Coturnix japonica: one gene and its partner. The protein of the gene in region 1 purifies or fractionates together with the protein of each later gene. This does not show direct contact. Links are inferred from orthologs where the notes say so. Each region holds a gene or a part of one and is shown in the gene's direction. Other genes may lie near its edges.

What was found. Proteins that work in one complex are often made in the same cells at the same time.
Region 2: the proteins of MAP2K2 (region 1) and KSR1 purify together in Homo sapiens (affinity purification with mass spectrometry; 4 studies listed by BioGRID and IntAct, with this or other methods). This does not show direct contact. The link is inferred for Coturnix japonica from reciprocal best matches to the Homo sapiens genes MAP2K2 and KSR1.

The regions. Positions count from the first base shown.
Region 1 is NC_029543.1:1,725,801-1,731,405, forward strand, and holds the end of MAP2K2 (dual specificity mitogen-activated protein kinase kinase 2), read left to right. Parts: intron 1-319; coding exon 320-533; intron 534-929; coding exon 930-994; intron 995-1,256; coding exon 1,257-1,318; intron 1,319-1,834; coding exon 1,835-1,880; coding exon of another isoform or gene 1,881-1,994; exon of another isoform or gene 1,995-2,146; intron 2,147-2,782; coding exon 2,783-2,893; 3' UTR 2,894-3,264; downstream 3,265-5,605. UniProt on the Homo sapiens protein: Catalyzes the concomitant phosphorylation of a threonine and a tyrosine residue in a Thr-Glu-Tyr sequence located in MAP kinases. Activates the ERK1 and ERK2 MAP kinases.
Region 2 is NC_029534.1:7,917,264-7,923,277, forward strand, and holds part of KSR1 (kinase suppressor of Ras 1), read left to right. Parts: coding exon 1-60; intron 61-167; coding exon 168-274; intron 275-543; coding exon 544-712; intron 713-1,958; coding exon 1,959-2,000; intron 2,001-2,737; coding exon 2,738-2,792; intron 2,793-3,461; coding exon 3,462-3,507; intron 3,508-3,949; coding exon 3,950-4,332; intron 4,333-5,032; coding exon 5,033-5,129; intron 5,130-5,824; coding exon 5,825-5,958; intron 5,959-6,014.

The DNA.
Region 1 (5,605 bases):
CTCCTGTGATTACTCTCAGATATTAACAGGAATAAACAGGAAAAAGAAAACTGCTTAATCTTTCCTGCAACAAAACTGAGATCTCAGCTCGCTCAGAAATCCAGAGTATAAGCAACTGCAAAGGCTGCTCAGCTCTATCTATCTGTTGGTTAGATGTGTGCAAGTGCTTTGTGTTTGATGTGACTTGGAAGCTCCCACACCCCATAGAAGTGCTTCCTTTGCAGGTATCAGGAGTGCTAGCTGCTTGGAGGACACCTGCTCATAGAGAAGATGCTTTAGGTTTCTTACCACTGTGTTGTCTTGTTCTCTTTCCTTCCAGCCTGAACGGTTGCAGGGCACTCATTACTCAGTCCAGTCTGACATCTGGAGTATGGGTCTGTCATTGGTGGAGCTTTCTATTGGAAGGTACCCAATACCCCCACCAGACTCCAAGGAACTGGAAGCAATATTTGGCCGTCCTGTGGTGGATGGGGCAGAGGGAGAGTCTCACAGCGTCTCACCAAGGGCCAGGCCTCCAGGACGCCCCATTAGTGGTAAGGGGCTGTTGTATGTATTGGATACAACATGCAGGTGTAGGGGCATGGGGATGGGTTCTGTTGGTGTGGCTGGGTTAGCAAAAGCTGTTGTGGATGAGGTTGTGGGGAGGGAGGGTTCTCAACTCACTCTTTCCTGCAGGCAGAGCTATGTCTGTGCTATAGGAGAATCCAGCTCTGCTATGGAGGTTTCTAATACTGAGAGCCTGTGGAGTTGTGGTCTTATATGGGGAGCTTAGGAGGTGATTTGGGGGATATTTTTAACCGTGGGTTCATTCCCAACTTGGTGCCCTCTGCTTCTCCCACCAGAAGTCCCACAATGTGGGTTTTCTTTGCTTGAAATGAAGCCCTTTGGTGTCTCTTCTCACCAGTATTTCTTTCATCTTAACCACACAGGCCATGGAATGGACAGCCGACCTGCAATGGCCATCTTTGAACTGCTGGACTATATAGTTAATGAGGTGAGCATTGCACTACTGTAGGTTCTGCTCCTCTGGGTTGGTGTTGTGTCCGCACTGCCAGGTCAAGAATAGGCTCAAAAACCTTTGCTTGACAGGGGCTTATCAATAGGGCCCCTCCAAACTGCATCAAAATCCTGTTGGCCACTGATTGAATGGGAAAGGAGCAGCTTGGAGGGACGTGGCTTTGGACAAACCTTAACTGAAAGCTGTGCTTTAAGACATGTATGTTTTGACCCATTAACACTTTCTCCTCTCCCTGCAGCCACCTCCCAAGTTGCCAAATGGAGTTTTCACACAAGATTTCCAGGAGTTTGTAAATAAATGGTAAGGATTTTCTGTTTGTGACTGAAACACAGTCTGTGTTTCTGTTTGTGACTGAAACTGGCTTGGCTGCAGCAAGGTCCTGCACTATGCTGGGAACTTCTGCCTTGGGAAGGGCTGGAATAAAAGTGGTTTATTTGTAGTTAACCCCTATAGCTCACCCCACAATCTTCCAGGCACCCTGCAAACACCACTGACTTCAAGACCCTCTGAGCCTGGGGATGCTGCTGCCATCTCCATTAAAAGAGACTGGCTGTTAGAAAACCATTCATCTCTTCAAATGGTTACGAAGTTTGTCTGTGCAATCCAGAAGTAGTGGATCTTGCAGCTCTGCCTGGAATCCAGGGTGCTGGAGCTGCAGACAATGCTATCTAAGCATCGTTCATGCTGCTGGTGTGGGGAAGGCAGGCAGGAGGCAACGTGGCTTTAGTGAAGCTGGAGTCCTCTCCAGACAGATAAGCAGTTTCTTACAAGAAGTGTCTCAGTGCTGCTTTTGCTCTCTTGTTCTTCTCATTTCAGCTTAATTAAGAATCCAGCGGAACGGGCAGATTTGAAGATGCTGATGGTAAATGGGAAGAACAATCTTCTTTCTACACTGGGTGGCACCAGATCTGCAAGCTGCTGCCTCATCCCATCCCTTCCAGCTCTAAAGGCTGGAAACTCCCCTGGCTGTGCCTGAGAACCAAATCCAGCCTGGGAGATGGAGTTGACTCACTTACCTTTGTCTCAAAGGCAGTGATGTCATCTAACCCCTGAGAGCCTGCTGTCCCTCCCCAGCAGAGCCCAGTATGGAAAACCTGATGGCTCCAGCACCTCTCCATGTCTGCGAAGGTGCCTGGGACAAACCTTTGCCTCTTGAGCAGTGTAGAAGAGCTCAGCTTATCCCCATGAACCTTTTCTTCCTCAGCCTGCCCCCTGCTGCCCCTTGCAAAAGCAGTAGCCCACATCCTTATGTCCCTGCTCCTTGTCCTTGTTTTGTGGTCACCCTGCTCTGCCCCTCTCCTTGGTTGGAGGGGGGATTAGGGTTTGCTGGGACTGGGCTGAGCTCAGGATCTGTAGTTCTGAACCTATACCAGCCTGGTCCTGTCTCCACCATAGCACTTAGGGGTTGCTCTGGGGATGCAGCACGTAGGCTTTGCACTTCAGCTCTCCTGCATGCCCTGAGTTTCATGACCAGGCAAGAGATGCACTGACTTTAAAACCCAGCCATAGGGCTGTAAGTAGCAAATATTTAGGGACTACTCTCCAGATCTACTGTCTGGGCCTGAAAGCAGCCCAAGCTGTGGCCTTGGATCCATTGGCTTTGCTGGGGTCCAGCCAACAGCGTAAGGCCCCCCACCCAAAAAAGCTCTGAGAAAGAGGCCAGGGATTGTGGTGTTCTGCTGGAGGTGGAAATCATTGCTGTGGGGAGCACATAGTTGCACGCTAACAGTGTGCCTTCCTAACCTTGCTTTGCTTCCCTTGCAGAATCACACCTTCATCAAACGCTCTGAAGTGGAGGAGGTGGATTTCGCCGGCTGGCTCTGCAAAACACTGAGGTTAAACCAGCCCAGCACACCCACCCGTGCTGCCGTGTGATGGCCAAGCCTGGTGTCAGTACATCTGCCTCTGCCACTGTTTCCTGCCCTTCAGTACACAACAGAACTGCCCTTCTTCCTTCTCCCCTGCCCCTTCTCGCATCCCACCAGCAAAGCACCATCACTTGGAAATGTTAATCAGCTGCCTCCCCCCCCCCCCACCTCCTTTCCCTCATCCCCATGCAAACATGGGTTTAGTTTCTGTTGGTCTGGGGGGTGTCCTGGGCCTCTGCTCCAGCTTTGGAGCTCTTTGACACTTGGGAAATGTGCTGCTTATGTTATATTTTTTTTTTCTCTTTTTTTTTTTTGGTTTTCTTTTTGGAAACATGTTCACTTGGGTTTAAAAGAAAATAAGACGTGTGCACTGGTGTATGTGTGTGTGTGTGTGAGCTGGTGGCAGGGGATGGGCAGGGGGCTGTGGGGAGGGGGCTTTGTCTGCTCCTGGGCTTAGAGCATGGAGAGGGGAGACACCTCACAGTATCTCCAGCCATGGCAGGTGCTGTGCCATAAGGCTGTGGCATTGCTTAGGGCTGAGCTGGGTGCTGGACTCTCTGTGGGTAAGAGGGAGGAGGCACTTGTGGTTTGACTTCTGTTGTTAATTGGGTTGTTTTACAGCCTGTTCTGGTGCACTGATGAATTGTCTCGAGCTTCTGAGTGCAGGCTGAGCTGCTGGCTCAGATGGGAAAGTTGGGCTCTGCTGTCCCTCCTGCTTCACAACACCCTGCTCAGCCCCTTGCAGTGCAGGCAGCAGGGTTTGGTGCCTTGGGCAGGATCCATCCCTGGGTTTGCTGTGCCTCAGGCAGAGCAATCCTGAAGACCCCTCTGGACTGCAGGCTTTCCCCCCTCCAGCTGCCCCCCACCTTCCCAAGCCAAGGTCTGGCACTATGTGGGTTTGGTGGCAGTTGGGACCATGGAGGGGCTGAGTCTTGCTGGGGGGGTTCAGCCTTCTCATGCTCTGTCCTAAAGTTTTAAGGTTTTTAAAGGCTCCCTTGTGCCCTCTACGCTCTTTACCCTACACCTGGGCTGCTGCGTGTCCTCCTGCCTCAGGAAGGATGAGGGCTCTGTTGATGTCAGGGATGAACCATCACCATACATTCACCCCCATCCCCTCAGGGCTGATTATGCCTTAAAGCCTCATCTCCTAAAGGGGCAGGCCTGGTATTATCACCCTTCAGAAGGAAATATGTTGCCTTCTTAACCCCATTCACAGCCCCATCCCCATTGCCTGGCTGGGGTAGGGGGGCTGGCAGCAAAATGCACTGGGCAGTTACTGTTGTTTTTTTGCCTCTTAGGTTCCAGGTGGGGAGGTGGGCAATTCATAAAGTGTCAGGGTTTATTTGTGGCTTTTTGAGCATTTTGTTTTATTTTCTAACTAAATATTTTCATCATGGAAAAAAAATAATAATAATAAAAGGCACTTTACATTTACAGGCCTATTCTCTTCTGATTTCTCCTGCTCAGCTTTAACTCCTGTGTGCCCAGACTCTGGCAGCTCCTCATGGAACAGATCCCCCCCAATTATCCTGGCACTGGGCTGCCCTGTCCCAGCAGGATGGATGTGAGCAATAAGGAAGGCACTGTGCCATAAATCCTCCTCTAGGGTTGCTGGATGCTGAGTGTATTCATTATAGAGTGAGGCTGAGCTTAGCTGGGAGCCCTGGCCTCATCCAACCTTGGAGTTATACCCCTGCAGAGACCCCATCAGTGTGGGGTTTGGGGGACCCCCATTGCCTGGCATGGTGCCTGGCACCTCTTGCAGGTGGTATTGGATTATTCCCATCTTCAGGAGAGATCTGGGGGCACTGAGGGCTGCCTTTAGGGCATCCTAGTGTAATCCCTGCCTATCTCAGCATTCCTTGGGTGCTGTAGAGGCTCCGCAATGTGCCCTTAGGGTACCCCAGAGCCAGTGGGATGCCTCATGTGCTCTGCAGTGGATTCTATCAAACACTCAGAGCAACTTGGTGTGAATTAAGATGCAGGTGATCTCATGGCCTTGTATTGCCCGTTTTCCCCCTAGGCAACCATGGCTGGACTCTTCACTCTGTGCTGCTTCTCAGGATGATGCTGTGGCGTATGCATTGGTGAGCAACCCCCTTGCTGTCCCCCTCTACCACCCCAATCTGACACACTCTACCCCATAAGCATAAGTACATTAGCAATAAGAAGAGGGCAAAGAGGCAGTGTGACCCCAAAGCTATGCCCCGTCCCCATATACTGCCACAATGAGTATCTCTTGTGGTTCCCAATGCTTTTCCCCATTGATTTCCCAATCTTTTCCCCTCCCCTATCCCCGTTTCCATACCCACCGAGCCAGCAGGTGCCGCTATGCGGCTCCACTATGCTGTAGAGCATCCACTGAGCTCTGGCTAAGCAGGACCTCGTACAGCAGTGAGATGATGCTATGATACTGGCCTAGGAAATGGGTTCAGCTCCACAGCATCAGGGCGGCTCCTGCTTCATTTCTCCCCCCAGCTGAGCCTTCCCCCATCAGCTCCTGAAAGGGAGCCTGAGGCTCAGCAGAGATGCAGCAATGCAAGGATGCACTGATGTCCCCCCCCCCTACACCTCTCTATTCCAGCATTGCCCCTCATAGCCAGGGGTCAGCAGGGAAACAGCACCTGGATGCCAACAGCGAGCCAAGAAACGTGATGTTGATGCTGAAGTGTCCTTAAATAGAACCATCTGCTCCACTCTTTGTCACAACAGTAGGAGT
Region 2 (6,014 bases), on another chromosome or scaffold:
TGAAATGTCACAACAAGTGTACTAAAGAGGCGCCTGCTTGTAGAATATCATTCCTTCCCAGTAAGTTTACTACAGATTCTTAGCACATCAATGTAGCTGATGGTATCACAAGAATAAGAAGTCTGATTAAAGGGATTTTTTCATCTCATATCCAACCTGTTTTTCAGTTGCCAAAATAAGGAGAACAGAGTCTGTCCCTTCTGATATCAACAATCCAGTAGACAGACCAACAGAACCACAGTTTGGAACTCTTCCCAAAGCACTCACTAAAAAGGTACTTAGTGACTGATGTGAATCTTCTGCCTCAAAGTCAGTGAGGAACTACAATAAGGAGAGGTCACAGTAGTACCTTACTGAACAAGAATGGCACTTCAGCTTTCATTTTGCAAAGAGTCTTTAGAATGACTTTTCTTCCCTGTTAAACATTGTTAAACACACATCTTGTTGTGTTTGAGGCTGGGGACAGCCTTCCTCACTTTATTAAACATTGATGGAAACTATATTTTTATTATGTACTCATTAGTGACTTCTCTTGCTTTCCAGGAGCACCCACCAGCAATAAATCATCTGGACTCCAGCAGTAATCCCTCTTCTACAACCTCTTCCACTCCATCTTCTCCAGCACCTTTCCAGTCTTCCAACCCTCCCAGTGCAACACCTCCCCCAAACCTATCTCCTATGGGCCAGAGGGATGCACGATTTAACTTCCCAGGTAAACCCATCTTTTTCTGGAGGGCTCTGCCAAGATCAGAAAGGCATCTGTGGAAGCTGGGGCTAACCAAGACTTCATAAGTAGTTTTAGGTTTCTGAATAGATAGTTGAGTCTTACTCAAGGTTTGAAAGTTTTTCCTGTCATCTGATAAAGGGGACACAGTCTGTTCTTAGAAGGTTTTAAGCCAAAGGAACAAGATACTTTTGCAGGAAACAAATTACTGAGGAGTTCTGGTTCCTTTTTTACCCAATATGATCTTTCTACTTTATTCTATTTATTTATTTATTTATTTTCCTTTTCTGATGAGTACTAGAAGAAAGTGGTGTTGCTTGTTTCCTTTTTCTTACTGTATCATGAAATTCGTGCTGCCCGCTGTGTTTGCTCACTGGTGGCTTTGAAACGTAAGGTCATTGCTAGAAAGAAAGTATTAAAATGGAGACTGACATAAATTAGTTCTACTAGTCCCTTCCAAAAGATAACCAACAATGAACACTTGGCTTTTAAAGTGTAGACAGGTGTGTATGGTGAAGAATTTACATACTTCCTGGATTAAGGACCCAAATATGCTGTCCTTAACAAAGCTGATAGAGACAAGGCTTGCATAGTAGAATAAACTTAATTTCTTCTATCTGGAAATGAAGTCACATGCTGCTAAACAGGTGCTGCATCTGGCCTTAAATACTACTGTTTTGCAAAAGATTTCTCGCCTGTGAAAGTTGCTGTTTTAGCCTACTTAAAAGGAGCAGAAGCAGTGCAAGTTTAGTGCAGGGATTCTACTGCAGTTACTTTGTATGAGGACAAGTAATTCAATTTAAGTGAAATTAAAACAAACAAAACAACTTGCAAAGAGCTCTTGAGCTTCAGCCTCTCTGCATGCAGCTTGGAAACGCTGACAGTGTGAGAGAGCATTGAAGGATCAGCCTTTTCCTGGGCCTGCCTGCTGGCATCCCTGGGTTCTCTGAGTCTGCTTCTTCCACTTGACATATGAACGGCTGGTTTTCCCACCAGACTGCTTGCATTAACACAGCATTCATGTGACAGGTGTCATCTGTCTTCCAGAAATGCATGTACTGAAATTCACCCCTCAAGCAGACTGATAATCAACTAATCTGCTTCCTAACAGTGAGTTGGGACTAATTGAATGCATATGTGGCACTTACTGATGATCCTCTAACTTGTTTGTTTGTTTTGTTGTTTTTTTTTTTGTTTTCTTTTTATGTCTTTTTTTTTTTTAACCAAACAAAAGCTGCCTACTATATTCAGCATAGACAACAGTTTATCTTCCCAGGTGAGTTGACTGTTTTAATTCAACTAACTAAGCTTTTGCTGCCAGAAAGTAACTGTAAATTTTTGCATGCTTACCCAAGAGCGATAATTCTGCTTTTGAAAAGAAGTATATCCAGTACAACAGATAAAGCACCAGATTTCTGCTGTGCGATTCTACTCACGGCTGAGTTCTTTTGTTAAGGCTGTCTTTTGGGATTATATGCTTGGAATAATGGATGCTGGCAGTTCAGGAATGCTGAGATCATATTTATGAATTGATGTTCTTGCCTATGGGATTGAAAATGGTGCAACATTATTCATATGTGCAAGCTCTTTTCTTGGTCACTTTTCATTAACCTTCAGAAACTGTCCATCTATTTCCAAAGAGAGAACTGGTGATGTAGGATGCCAGGTACAGAGTATTGCACTCTAAATTTTGCAAGGATTTGCAACCGAAACTGAATTTCCTGTGCACTGGTGACACTGATCATACTAAGTGTGGTTGGAATGTGTGACCTACAATTATTAATCCTTGCATCTGGATTCAAGTATTTCTGATTGCTGAAGGCCATTTAAAAGGGTGTGAGCAGCTCAGAAATGAGGACGGCCATTGCAAAACATTACAAATAAGTGAATGTTAAGAAAGCTGGAATGGGTTGATATATAGGTGTGTAAAACAGCTGGTACTGCAATATTGAATATTCTGATCTATAAGGGAATTGAGTCTAAAATATGTGTAATAATTTTCATACTTCCCAGAAATTCCCAGTCCTGCACAAATAGCACAGCCTCCAGAAACTGCTGCAGACACCAAGTAAGTAAGAACTGCTTGTTTTAATCATGTTGTGTTAACCTGATAATCTTCAGGTCAGCACAAAGGCACTGTTATAACTGAAACCAATGGCCTGTTGAATGTATCATCTGAAAACTTCTACAGGACAATTTCGATCAGCAAGAGCGATGTTGGCATTTCTGGTTTTGCAAAGCTGAAAATATTTATTTTAAGTGGGACCGTGTTTTCAAATATGTAGTTATGGTTCTGTGAGCATGTTCCCAGCTCAGGAAGGTGAAAAGGAATAAAAGGTAGAAGGTTTTGTGATTGAAGCAGCACGGAAGAGCATGGCAAGCTCACATGTTTGTAGGGATCTGAATTGCAGGGTGTGCTGATGTTTTAACCTACAACCCCAGCACTCACAATTGCTTGACCAATACTCTGTACAGGTGTTTCTGTAGTACTGGGAATAGGAGTATCTGTTACTGGAACACATTGTAATAATGCAGCCATACCACTGCCAATGAATTCCTACCACTTAAACACCAAGAATCACTTCAAAATCTTTGTCCCTTATTTGCCAAAGTAATCTTAGAAAGTCCTTAGTTGTTAGACTTAGAGCAGTGATTGTACTTTGATCTAATTGACTATACTGCTTTCACTGTCTGCACCCCATTTATTTCTTACTACAAATCTGTTTTCTCTTGTTAGTGCTAAAGAACAGCCAAATACAGATGGACTTAAACATGAAGCAGAGGTAGGTTTTATGGTCTCCCCTTTTATATCTCTTTTGTAATCCCAAAGGCCATGTTGCAATGCAGCAGAAGCTTGTGGCTGAAGCTGTGAATGTAGACTTGCTGTGCCTTCAGTTCCACTGGGCTGTCTATGCTGCACAGATCTACTGACAATTGGATGTTTCTGTTGCCAGGCTGAAGCAATGAAATACTTGTAACAAAAAGTAACTGTTTCTAATTGGGAGAAGGTGAGCTCAAATCTTTGGCTCACTCAGTTGCCTGCAGCTGTTTCTCAAGTGGCTCTTGAGCCACATCCCAAGAGGAGGTGTGTGCCTTTTCGTAGCTTTCTTGGATGACTTTGTCCTATGAAGGGATCTCTAGATCTGTCATCAAATAGGTTCATCAACCTGCCCAAGTCCTCTCAAAACAGACTCTCAGCATGTTTTTCCGTTCTCCTTCTGTAAGCAGGTGGAAGAACCTGAGAGTAATAAATCAGAACCTGAAGATGATGAGGATGAAGTGGAAGATTTGCCAAACAGAAGGCCACACCTGCAAGGGATGATTTATCGCAAACCCAGCCAGACCAGTGTCTACCTGCAGGAATGGGACATTCCCTTTGAACAGATCGAACTGGGGGATCCCATTGGCCAAGGACGATGGGGGAAGGTTCACAAGGGAAAATGGCACGGGGAAGTGGCCATAAGGCTGCTGGAGATAGATGGGAACAATCAGGATCATCTCAAGCTCTTTAAAAAGGAAGTGATGAATTACAGACAGACCCGGCATGAGAACGTGGTGCTTTTCATGGGAGCATGCATGAACCCTCCTCATTTAGCAATCATTACCAGGTAAGGATATAACAACTTCTGTTAGTAATACTGCATGTGCTTATCTATTTATAGAATAGATATAATAATACAGTATTCTGTATAGAATATATATATATAGAATAAATTTCTATAAACATATTTGTAAATTATATATTTCCATAACAAATATTTAATGCACATGCATGATATATGTGTGTATTATAAATAAATTTGTAATATTTATTTCTGTAGTCTGAAAGTGGAAGACATCAAAGCAGCCTCTGTTGCTTGGAGTTTTGATATTAGAGATGTCTCTTCTTAGGGAGTTTATTTATTGGCAATCTAATTCTTATTTTTTAATCTCTTAAAGTCTCTTGAATTCTTTAGAAGCGGGACAAAGTAATCTGCAGTCTCAGCAGAAGCTGGTGCTCAGGTTATGAAAACTGGACTTATTTGTCTGAAGAGCAAAATGAGATCAGGGCCACTGAGGAAACAAATAAGTGTTTGCTTGACTACGCTTTAGCAATAACTGAATGACAGTTATCAGTAGCTGCAATTGTGTACACTCACACAGGTGTCAACTGAGCCATTTGTGTTACTGAAAATGGCATTGCTCAGCAGAGGGAAGAAGACTGATTCCATCAACATGATAAAAGTACCTTTTGAGCATCCACTGGTCTTTACATTCCTCCAATGTTTTAAAGAAACTTTTTAGGACTCTTGTTCCTCTTTTTTACAGCTTCTGCAAAGGAAGGACACTGTATTCATTTGTAAGGGACCCCAAGATATCCCTGGATATTAACAAAACCAGGCAGATAGCACAGGAGATCATTAAGGTAAGCATACGTTGTGTTATCAGAGATATCTGCTTTCTGGGCAATTCCTCAGCAAGTGCTGAGAGGCTGCACAGCTGATCTGTAAGTTCAACAGCCATCCACAGGGTGCTGCAGCAGGGAAAAATTGAAAATGGAGGAAGGAAAACTGCTAATTCAGTGGGCTGTAAGCTGAAAACCTGTAGGGATAGAAATTGATCTTTTGCTTATATGGGGTTGGGGAGGGAGAATTTTGATAAAAGGCAACCATGACGAAATGCACGCAGGGCACGTTTCCTTCCCAGTCTCTTTTATTGGTAACTACAGCTACATTAAAGCATTCTGAAGTAGACATGATCTTCCAGATTTGCAGTTTCCATGGCTATTTTCAGTATTGATCAACTGAAGTAGCATTTCTTAAGCTGTTGTTTTCTTTGCTGGTAGAAGTGTCCTAGGAATTCAGCGAGCAAGTTTGTGTCAGCTGTTCCTTGTTCACACACCTACACACTTATTCAGAGTTGTGAAGTTCACCATCACTTACTGCTTCAATTAGAAGTACCTTCCCAGCAACCCTCCTGTACAGAGGAGGAAGCTGTTGTGTCCCCACTTAATGTATTGTGTTGGAGTAAATAAACATGTATTAGAAAGAGAAGCATGCCCAGTTAGAGGCTTGTAAACATGACAACATTTACATCTCTGCACATAAACTTTTTTTCCAGGGCATGGGCTATCTTCATGCGAAGGGGATTGTACACAAGGATCTGAAATCCAAGAATGTTTTTTATGACAATGGGAAAGTAGTGATCACTGACTTTGGACTATTTGGAATTTCGGGTGTGGTTCAGGAAGGAAGGTAGGTGGAGGTTTCAGTGCTTGGTCCATTTCTGGGGTGATTAAAAACGATCTAAC